Linked DNA regions of Daphnia pulex. Each later gene encodes a partner of the first gene's protein in a complex. Links are inferred from orthologs where the notes say so. Each region holds a gene or a part of one and is shown in the gene's direction. Other genes may lie near its edges.

The links. The genes of interacting proteins can lie anywhere in the genome.
Region 2: the proteins of phenylalanine--tRNA ligase beta subunit-like (region 1) and phenylalanine--tRNA ligase alpha subunit A-like are in contact, whole or in part, in a crystal structure (PDB 3L4G), measured with the Homo sapiens proteins. The link is inferred for Daphnia pulex from reciprocal best matches to the Homo sapiens genes FARSB and FARSA. Residues at the interface, in NP_005678.3 of Homo sapiens: Glu26, Phe29, Gly32, Leu33, Pro68, Ala69, Asn70, Ile150, Arg152, Asp259, Thr261, Lys262, Arg305, Lys316, Lys317, Val318, Gly319, Ile359, His360, Cys362, Asp363, Glu366, Ala369, Ile370, Tyr374, Asn375, Ile377, Gln378, Met379, Thr380; in NP_004452.1 of Homo sapiens: Ser221, Gly222, His223, Leu224, His225, Leu227, Leu228, Arg231, Ser232, Arg235, Leu239, Gly242, Phe243, Thr244, Glu245, Pro247, Asp249, Asn250, Phe251, Ile252, Glu253, Ser254, Phe263, Gln266, Gln267, Phe277, Phe278, Leu279, Arg280, Asp281.

The regions. Positions count from the first base shown.
Region 1 is NC_060024.1:1,044,304-1,049,531, forward strand, and holds phenylalanine--tRNA ligase beta subunit-like, read left to right. Parts: upstream 1-1,780; 5' UTR 1,781-1,965; coding exon 1,966-2,023; intron 2,024-2,109; coding exon 2,110-2,165; intron 2,166-2,281; coding exon 2,282-2,436; intron 2,437-2,508; coding exon 2,509-2,578; intron 2,579-2,641; coding exon 2,642-2,908; intron 2,909-2,978; coding exon 2,979-3,158; intron 3,159-3,226; coding exon 3,227-3,481; intron 3,482-3,546; coding exon 3,547-3,921; intron 3,922-3,988; coding exon 3,989-4,190; intron 4,191-4,252; coding exon 4,253-4,404; 3' UTR 4,405-4,438; downstream 4,439-5,228. Other genes in the region: probable actin-related protein 2/3 complex subunit 2, read right to left, coding at 4,540-4,769, 4,834-5,106, 5,168-5,228.
Region 2 is NC_060018.1:5,962,850-5,967,593, reverse strand, and holds the start of phenylalanine--tRNA ligase alpha subunit A-like, read left to right. Parts: upstream 1-1,919; 5' UTR 1,920-2,105; coding exon 2,106-2,246; intron 2,247-2,390; coding exon 2,391-2,528; intron 2,529-2,587; coding exon 2,588-2,829; intron 2,830-2,891; coding exon 2,892-3,113; intron 3,114-3,179; coding exon 3,180-3,295; intron 3,296-3,361; coding exon 3,362-3,543; intron 3,544-3,623; coding exon 3,624-3,762; intron 3,763-3,823; coding exon 3,824-3,951; intron 3,952-4,012; coding exon 4,013-4,107; intron 4,108-4,175; coding exon 4,176-4,277; coding exon of another isoform or gene 4,278-4,281; exon of another isoform or gene 4,282-4,302; intron 4,303-4,466; coding exon 4,467-4,744. Other genes in the region: isocitrate dehydrogenase [NADP] cytoplasmic-like, read left to right, coding at 1-130, 196-347, 411-539, 600-892, 978-1,140, 1,209-1,287.

The DNA.
Region 1 (5,228 bases):
GTAAATGTAATCAATCAATGGAGGTTAGGTTGGTGGGAATAGGTGTAGACCAACTAAAAATGAAGTTGATTGCATGCTATCATCATGCAGCGTTCCATCAAGAGAATTGGCCCGAGGGAATAGAGGGGAGAAGAGGAAAGTAATATGAAAAAAAGAGTGGCCCATACTTTCCCTTTCCCCCCTTCTTTCCTCGGGCCAATTCTCTGTTGATTCGTTAACGAAAAAATTAAACAACAGGGGAACACATTTTTTTAAATACATGGAATGTGATCTGGAGACACAAATTGCTACACATACTAACCAAGATACGTAGCAATTAACTGACAGAAAAAAAATGGAAAAAAAATTACACACTGATTCAAAAAACCAACTTTGTATTGGGAAAACAAACTTTCAGCCAAGGACCGGACCCATATTTCGGACACTGTACCACGTTAGACAGGGTCGGTAAAAATAGTAAAAATCATTTTAAAATCAAATTTTTCTACACTTTATTTTTTGTAGTGTAAGCATTAACTGTTATAAGTTTCATAAAAATCTTATGATTATTTCCTGAGATATTCAAGGAATAAAAAAACACGGGAAAAATGCGCAAATTTTTTCCCCACTAATTGTGCAATTGAACCCAAGTTTGACGGATTAAGTAAAATCTGCTCACATAAAAACATTTGCCTACACTATTCACCCAAATTTTATATTTATTTTGAGAAGAAGAAACATGGGTCCCCTTTTTTTTCGTACGCCCTCCTCCCTCCCATTCGTCCCATTCTCCCTCTTCTCCCCATTCTTTCCTCAAAAAACGTAAACAACGCGTTTAATTCATTTTTAACCAATAAATGGGAATTCAAACAAATAAATAAATACATAAAAAAATTCCCTGTTCAATTCCCTATTTCCCTGTTGCAACAAAATTTTACCATTTTAAACTAGAGTAAAACTACAGACTAAAATCTTTCGTTTTCTTTCTTTCCACCCAAATTTGGGTTAAAAGCCAAAAACAGTTCCCCGCAATATTGATAGGTGGCTGTTTGGAAAAAAATCGCTGTTCGGATTTTTTTGCAGGATGGAGTAGTTGGACATCCTGCGTTGCGCATTCTCCGCAAATTCGAAAATCTCATTTGTGTCCAACTCGGTCTGTGTCGCCTACAGCGTCTTATGGGAAAACCAACTTCTTCCCGTTAAAACAGTTGTTTTCTTACCTATAACTTTGATTTCCCCCCTTTTCTTCCTAACAGTGAATACTTTATTCATTTCTCTATTACCTAATTTTTATTTCTATCCCCAATTCCATCTGGTTAATTTTTAATTAATTTTTGTTTGTGACTGGTTTTTTTGTTGTCTCCTGTAGCAGAAGAATTTCGTTCGTAGCGTGGTCGATTCTGTCTAGAAACGTCTAGAAACGTCTGCTACAGGAGACGAACAAAAAAACCAGTCACAAACAAAAATTAATTAAAAATTAACCAGATTGAATTGGGGATAGAAATAAAAATTAGGTAATAGAGAAATGAATAAAGTATTAACTGTTAGGAAGAAAAGGGGGAAAATCAGAGTCATAGATAAGAAAACAATTTTTTTACCGAGGAGAAGTTGGTTTTCCCATAAGACGCTGTAGGCGACACAGACCGAGTTGGACACAAATGAGATTTTCGCATTTGCGGAAAATGCACAACGCAGGATGTCCAACTACTCCATACTGTACATAGCATTTCATTTGGATTCAAAAAGGCTACCAAAAGCCGTCACCAGATGGGGGTTTTAACACTGACGGGCAATCCGGCAATCTAGTCTGCACTCGGCAGTCGCCAGCTCATTGAAACCAGAGTTGCAAAGTTTTTCGATTCCATCCTCCAGCTTGTCCAAAAAACCAGGTGGCAACTGGGTGGCAATTGGCAAGTTTGATCACTGATATTGCAGTCCTGCTGTTAATTTCTTTATCATCTTCTGCAACTTTTCCAGAACAACACCATGCCTACCATAAGTATCAATAGAGATTTACTGTTCAAAGCCCTTGGAAGATCTTACAGTGAGTTGAGATCACGTATTTGCTATAAGTTCTTTCAGTTAAACTTCAATTTAACTTAGTTAATATAATGTTATTTCTATATTTAGCGGAAGAACAGTTTGATGAACTTTGTTTCAAATTTGGCATCGAACTTGATGAAGTTGTAAGTACCCCTCCCCCCTAAAAAACCAACAAACAAAACAATATGAATTGTATTTGATATGAAACTTAATGTGTTCTCCCTATGCAAGTTACTCGTATCTATTTTTATTATTTCAGACGAGTGATAAACTCATCATTTTGAAAGAACAAGGAACAGAACGATCAGCTGGTGCATCAGAAGAAATCATTTACAAGATTGATATTCCTGCCAATAGATATGACTTATTGTGTTTAGAAGGTCTTGTGCAAGGTCTTCAAGTATTTTTGGGAGAGTAAGATAAATTCATAAACAAAACAAACTTATCATTAAATCAACAAATACCACTTTTTATTATTTCAATTAGAAAGCAATTTCCAGCTTTTAAAGTTGTTCCACCAGTGACAGTTCCTCAAAGATTAATTATCAAGCCTTCGGTGAGTCGTCATAAGAAATTTGTCATAATTATTATTTCAATTCAATACTATTTTTTATTACAGACTGCATCAATAAGACCACATGCTGTTGCAGCAGTTCTTAGAAACATCCACTTTGACCAAAACACTTTCAGTAGCTTCATAGATCTTCAGGATAAACTACATCAAAACTTGTGCAGGAAACGTAGTCTTGTTGCAATTGGAACTCATGATTTGGATACAGTCCATGGTCCATTTTTCTATGAAGCACTTCCACCTGATTCAATTAAGTTCAAGCCATTGAGCCAGAGTAAAGAGTTTACTGCTTCTCAGTTAATGGACTTGTATTCAGTAATCTATCTATCAATTGTGTCATTTTATGCTTTTAAAAATTAAAGATAATCATTTTTTACTAATTCAGACTGATAGCCATCTTCGCCACTATTTACCAATTATACGCGATAGTTCAGTCTATCCTGTTATCAAGGACAGTAATGGAGTAGTTCTTTCTATGCCACCTATTATCAATGGTGAACATTCAAAAATTACCTTAGATACGAAAAATGTTTTCATTGAATGCACTGCTACAGACCTAACCAAGGTAAATTGCCTTTATGAAAATGCAATTTTTTAAATTGCTTCTTTAATTGTTTAAATGTCTTCTTTTAGGCTAGCATCGTTTTGGACACTTTGGTCTGTATGTTTTCTAGGTACTGCGGGGATCAGTTTACTGTGGAGATATGCGAAGTAGAGACTCCAGAAGGAAAAATCAACAACTATCCGATTTTAAAAAATCGACATGAGAAAATCAGTGTTGACAAGATCAATACAATGGTGGGTATCAACGAAAAAGCTGACGAAATCGCAAATTTACTCACCCGAATGTGTTTAACTGCCACCGTGGAAGGAACTGGTTCCATTTCGGTAAAAAAAATGTAATGGTTAAATTATAGGATTTTGAAAATTCATGTAAAAATATTCCCTGGCAGGTTGAAATACCCCCCACTCGTCATGATATCATTCATGCGTGTGATGTCTATGAAGATGTGGCGATTGCTTTTGGATACAATAACATAACCAAAACTCTACCGAAAACTAACACCATAGCTTCACAGTTTCCCCTAAATAAGCTGTCAGATCAGTTGAGAGACCAGCTTGCTCAAGCCGGTTTCACAGAGGCTCTCACATTTTCGTTGTGCTCGAAGGAAGACATAAGCGAAAAGCTGAGGAAACCTCTGAACTCCGTTCCTGCAGTTCATGTTTCCAATCCGAAAACTTTGGAGTTCCAAGTAGCACGCACGACCTTACTTTCAGGTTTGCTCAAAACTATCGCTGCCAATAGGAAAATGCCTTTGCCCATGAAGGTAAAACCTATTTATTTAATAAGATAAGTTATAAAAGTTGTAAAACATATGGTTTCTGTTCTTCAAGCTATTTGAAGTATCCGATGTGGTAGTGAAAGACAGTCAGCGAGATGTTGGAGCTCGTAATTGCCGCAATCTGTGCGCCGTTTATTACAATAAGTCGCCTGGATTTGAATTAGTTCATGGTTTACTAGATCGCTTAATGCAATTGTTGGAAGTTCCACTGGATCAGAGTGGCAGCAAGGGATACTTCCTGAAACCATGCGAAGGTTCATTTCATATACTGCATCAATATTTTGATTACCTTCTTCTAAAGCTATAAAATTTACAGATGCAACTTTTTTCCCCGGACGATGCGCCCAAATCATTTTTGCTGGCACTGTTGTCGGAATCGTCGGAGTCTTACATCCTGATGTTGTGACATCCTTTGATTTAAATCTTCCATGTTCAGCTTTGGAGTTGAATATTGAACCGTTTTTGTAAGCAGTTACAAGAAATAAATGTGGTCTGTCATTAATGAGAAGCTAGTGTATTATTGAAAAATGTGAAACTAAGCGTTACAATTTAATCAATGAAGAAATCCTAATTAGGTAAACAGGGAAAATGTGCATTTAAACATCATGGAGTACGAATGAAAGTACGGCCGGTGATCGTTTTCTTTTCCACCGTTTTTGGTTCAGGTCGAGCTCGGTTTAATACTTTCAAAAAATCAGAAGTTTTGGCTCTCATGCGTGAATGAATGTAGGCTTTGCTACATTTGATGTGGTAGTGCAAATAGTCACGGAAGAGATGAATCAAATTAATGGTATTTTCGCGGACGTTTTTGTTCGTATGCCGTGGAAACAAGACTAAAAAGAATTATGACATAAATTTTACAGAAATCCATGTGTAAAAATAGAAATGATTTCATACCAAATGTAATGTATCCAATATTGTCACCAATTTTAGCATTTGTACTTTGAAGTTCCAGAGGAGGTTCTCGGTGAGAAAAAAGAACTTGTGGGGCAGTGTGAGAAGCTCGGCGACCTTCGCGAAGTTCTTGTAAGAAAACTTTACCTAACACAATATCATCCTCATCACGGAATACAGTGCTGAACACTACTGTTACTCTGTCTGCCTTAGCTTCTATGTACAATGTCTCTTCATCACGATAATTGATAACTGCTCTCTTGTGCCCTTCTTCACCTTATTAGAAAAGAAAAATTATAGAATTTCAGAGTATTGCTTTTGCTCATTATTTTTTTACCCTTTTCCTGAAATTCAAAATACTTCTCAAAAACAGATGCAAAGCAATTTCTTTTCAGCAG
Region 2 (4,744 bases), on another chromosome or scaffold:
GAATGGTACACTAAGAAACATTCTTGGTGGAACTGTTTTTCGAGAACCCATTATTTGCAAAAACATTCCTCGGTTGGTAACTGGATGGACTGCTCCGATCATCATTGGTCGCCACGCTCACGCCGACCAAGTAGCTTATAATTTGTCATGTGACATTACGAAAGTTGATACTGATGGTTCAATTTGATTTAACAGTATAGAGCAACTGATTTTTTAATCCCTGGAGCAGGCCAATTGGAAATGAAATGGACTGCTGCTGATGGATCCACAAGCATTGTGCATATCGTCAATGACTTCAAGGGTGCTGGAGTTGCTATTGGAATGTACAATACTGACGATTCCATTAGGTAATTGTTTGGTGCAAATTCGAATTCAAAGGCCAGGACTAATTTATTTCATTTTGATGAAAGGGATTTTGCTCATTCTTCGTTGCAATACGCTCTGCAGCGAGAATATCCTCTCTATCTCAGCACCAAAAATACTATCTTGAAAAAGTACGATGGTCGCTTCAAAGATATTTTCCAAGAAATCTACGATGCGTAAGTCTACATATTTTATACGTACGATTACATAAAAATTGACTAACTTCGTGTGCGCAGAGAGTACAAGCCGTTGTACGAAGCCAAGAAGATTTGGTATGAGCATCGTTTGATTGATGATATGGTTGCATATGCTATGAAATCGGAAGGTGGGTTTGTTTGGGCATGCAAGAACTACGATGGTGATGTCCAGTCAGACTCAGTTGCTCAAGGGTATGGATCTTTGGGGATGATGACTTCCGTCCTCATTTGCCCAGATGGGAAAACTGTTGAAGCTGAAGCTGCTCATGGAACAGTGACCCGCCACTACAGAATGCATCAGCAAGGAAAAGAGACATCCACAAATCCTATTGGTTAGTTACTGTGTTCTCGCCCGCATCGCAGGCAAATACGTTTTTCAATTTTCTTATACCAATAATGGTTATTATATTAAATCAGCTTCCATTTTCGCCTGGACGCGTGGACTGGAGCATCGTGCAAAGTTGGACAACAACGAGCCTTTGAAACGATTCTGTAGCGCATTAGAAAGCGTATGCGTTGAGACTATCGAAGCTGGTTTCATGACCAAAGATTTGGCCATTTGCATCAAGGGAATGAATGGGTAATTTTCGTTAATTTTTTGTGCGATAGAATGGAATGGTTTATTGATTTTGTATTTCTATATTCTAGCGTAACTCGAGGCGACTATTTGAATACCTTCGAATTCATGGATAAGTTAGCCGAAAATCTTAAAATCAAGTTGGCGTGACAACAAAAAAGAGCTTACGAGTCTTCATCTGTGACCAGCAGATTATAAGTTTAAAGTACTCAGCATAATTTTTTTACCAATCATATATCGTTCGATAATTATAGAAATGTTGGGAATTGGAATGTTTACAATAAAGCTGTTATCGAGTTACTATTATGTTTCTTTGGCGTGTACTTACTTATGTCTGCATGGTGTAGCCGTGTAGTCTCATTTTAGTGCGGTACCACTAGAATTTGTTGGTATGTTCCATTTTATCGTAAGGGTGAAGGCTCAGTAAATTGCTGGCAGTTCCAACCCTTTATTCAATAATCTGATATAGCCTACTAACTGAGGATAAATGATCAAATTATACGAAAAATATAGGTAGCATCTGCATCTCCATCTTATTATACATGTAGGTCACTAGGTCTTCTTTCATCTTTGGTACCGTACTCCTTTAATTTCATATTTCCTATTATTTATTTCTTCTATTATTTTATTTCATTTTACTTTATTTACTTCTAAATTTGAAATGGATAAAACTATTTTCGTAAAAACTTGTTATTTTTTTAATTTTAAACTTGCGCTCCTGCCACTTTCCGAACTTCGCATTATTCACAAACAACACACGTTGTCAATGCAGGAAGCAGACGAATTTTCTTCCTGTTGTAACGTCACGCTCTTACGGCTCTTTTAGTCCTCTAAAATAATTACGTCAGATATTTCTGGCTAGTTAGGTTTGGAATAGTCCGTCGTTTGGTTTACGCACCGTGACTAAAGTCTTATTAGAAGACTCAAAACTAAAGACTTAAGTCTTATACTTTTCCCTGAAGTGAAATATGGCGACTGCTCACGGTGAGAAGGTTTTGAAGTATTTGGAAGAAAATGGGACTGCCAGTTCACTTAAACTAGCTGAGCTTTGGAATGAAGATCACCAAAAGATCGTTGGTACCGTGAAAAGCCTTCTTTGTCTTGGAGAAGTGAGTGTACATTTTATGTTACATTATATTTAACTAAGCTTGTGTATTATATTTTACCACTACAATAGATTAAAATGCAGTACATGTAGCTTACCTAAAAAATGGGAAAACAAACAACAATTTTTTATTTAATTTGGTTCCCAGGTAATTGAAGCTGATCTTCAGAGCTCTGCGCTATGGGATCTCACTGAAGAAGGAAAACAGGTGGCTAAAGATGGTAGTCACGAAGCTCAAGTTTTCAATGCTATCCCACCTGCTGGAAGTACACAAGCAGAAATTGTGGTATTTTGAATTTAATCATTAAATGTCAGAAACATTTTGCCATTTTTGTAATTCACTAGGCTAAAGTTACTGAAGTGAATTCTAAATTCACAAAAGATATGGCCAAAGTTGGTTTCAGTAAAGCCATGTCACTTGGTTGGATTGTCGTTGACAAGAGTTCTGGAGCTCCCAAATTCATTAAAAAAGTAACTTCTATTCAAGATAAGGTTCAGGAACATCTTAAAGAACTTGCCACTGGAAAAGACACACTCACCAATGAATTGAGAACTGAGTACAAAAAAAGAAAACTTATCCAAGAAATGTTAGTATTATAAAATTTTGTCTCCCCAAAATCCTGTTTATTACCAATCTTTGTTGTTACAGAATTATCAAGAGTTATCTGATGAAACCTGGCCCATCATTCAGTACAAGTGTCACTAAACAAGAGACTGATCTTACGCCTGAAATGATCGCTTCCGGTTCATGGAAAACAAAGGAGTTCAAAGCATACAATTTGAATGCTCTTGGGACTCCAATTCCGCGAGGACATTTGCATCCCTTAATGAAAGTACGAGCAGAATTTCGACAAATATTTTTGGAGATGGGGTATGTTCCTAGTTAAAAATATTTAGAAATCAAATTCAATTATTAATCTGAATTTGGTCAAATCAGATTTACTGAAATGCCCACAAATAATTTTGTTGAAAGTTCCTTCTGGAATTTTGATGCCCTTTTCCAACCTCAGCAACATCCTGCACGAGATGCTCACGACACCTTCTTCCTTTCTGGTACTTTACTTAATTTACCTAGTTACTTTGTTAAGTTTCTGTAATTGGAAATTTTAAATCTTTTAGACCCGTCAACAGCAACAAATATCCCTGTCGATTACATGGAGCGTGTGAAAAAAGTACACAGCCATGGAGGTTATGGTAGTCAGGGTTATGGATATGATTGGAAAATAGAAGAAGCGCAAAAAAATCTTCTTCGAACCCATACCACTGCCGTTAGTGCGAGGATGCTTTACGCCCTTGCTGAGGTATAGTATGAGTGAAAAGTCAGCATCCTTCAAAACATCAAAATTTGAAATCTTAATTAACTTTTGTCCCCATTGTGCAGGGTGGTTTCAAACCGGCGAAATACTTCAGCATTGACCGTGTTTTCCGAAATGAAACGCTTGATGCTACACATTTAGCTGAATTTCATCAAATCGAGGGAGTCATTGCAGATTATGGCCTGACACTGGGGAATCTAATAGGTGCGAGTTTTTTTTTTGTATCGGCACTTTTGCAACTCATTTCATCTTTTTCAAATTTAAGGAGTCTTGTATGAATTCTTTCGCAAACTGGGTATTGAAAAGCTGCGGTTTAAACCTGCCTACAATCCGTACACTGAGCCCAGCATGGAAATTTTTAGTTATCATCCTGGCCTTAAAAAATGGGTTGAGGTAGTGAACTTTTCCGTGTACTTGTTACCATTGTTTTAAAAAATTTCACAAACATATTTAGATCGGAAATTCTGGAATATTCCGACCGGAAATGTTGTTACCAATGGGACTTCCTGAAGACGTTTCAGTTCTGGCATGGGGTCTTAGTTTAGAGAGGTACTAAAATACTGCTAATATAACTTTGTGTATTGAATCTAACTAAAATGTACTCATATATTATTTAGGCCGACGATGATTAAATATGGCTACGATAACATTCGGGATTTGGTGGGCCCTAAAGTGAACATACAGATGGTAGCAGACAACCCTCTCTGCCGACTGGACAAGTAACTTACATCCACCATGTCATATGTTTGTTTATTTTATTTGTTTTTAAATACCTTAACATTTCATAATAAGTTTTCTCAAGTGAAACACAGCTTTCATTTTAAACTATTTGGTTTTGTTGATTCAAGTTAAAAGTTATTGATTTTTATAAGGTATCCTTACAAGCAAAACTTGTTTTTCCCTTCCAGACACCGTGGTTCTGAAATGAAGGAAACAGACGATTTGCAGGACTTGGAGAATCGCATGGATTCGATCATGACTCGACTACGTGGCATTGAAACTGAAGTGAAGAAGTTAAAAAGACAAGGCAAAACTACTGAAGAAAAATTAACTCTTGTCATAGAGGCTGATCCGAAATATCCACCACGATCAATTCAAACCTTGGTGAGACTCCTGGTAGCTCGAGGAGATGCCCGTACCATAGTGACCGTTCATCAGCATTCATCTTTGGCAAGTGCTTGTCCAA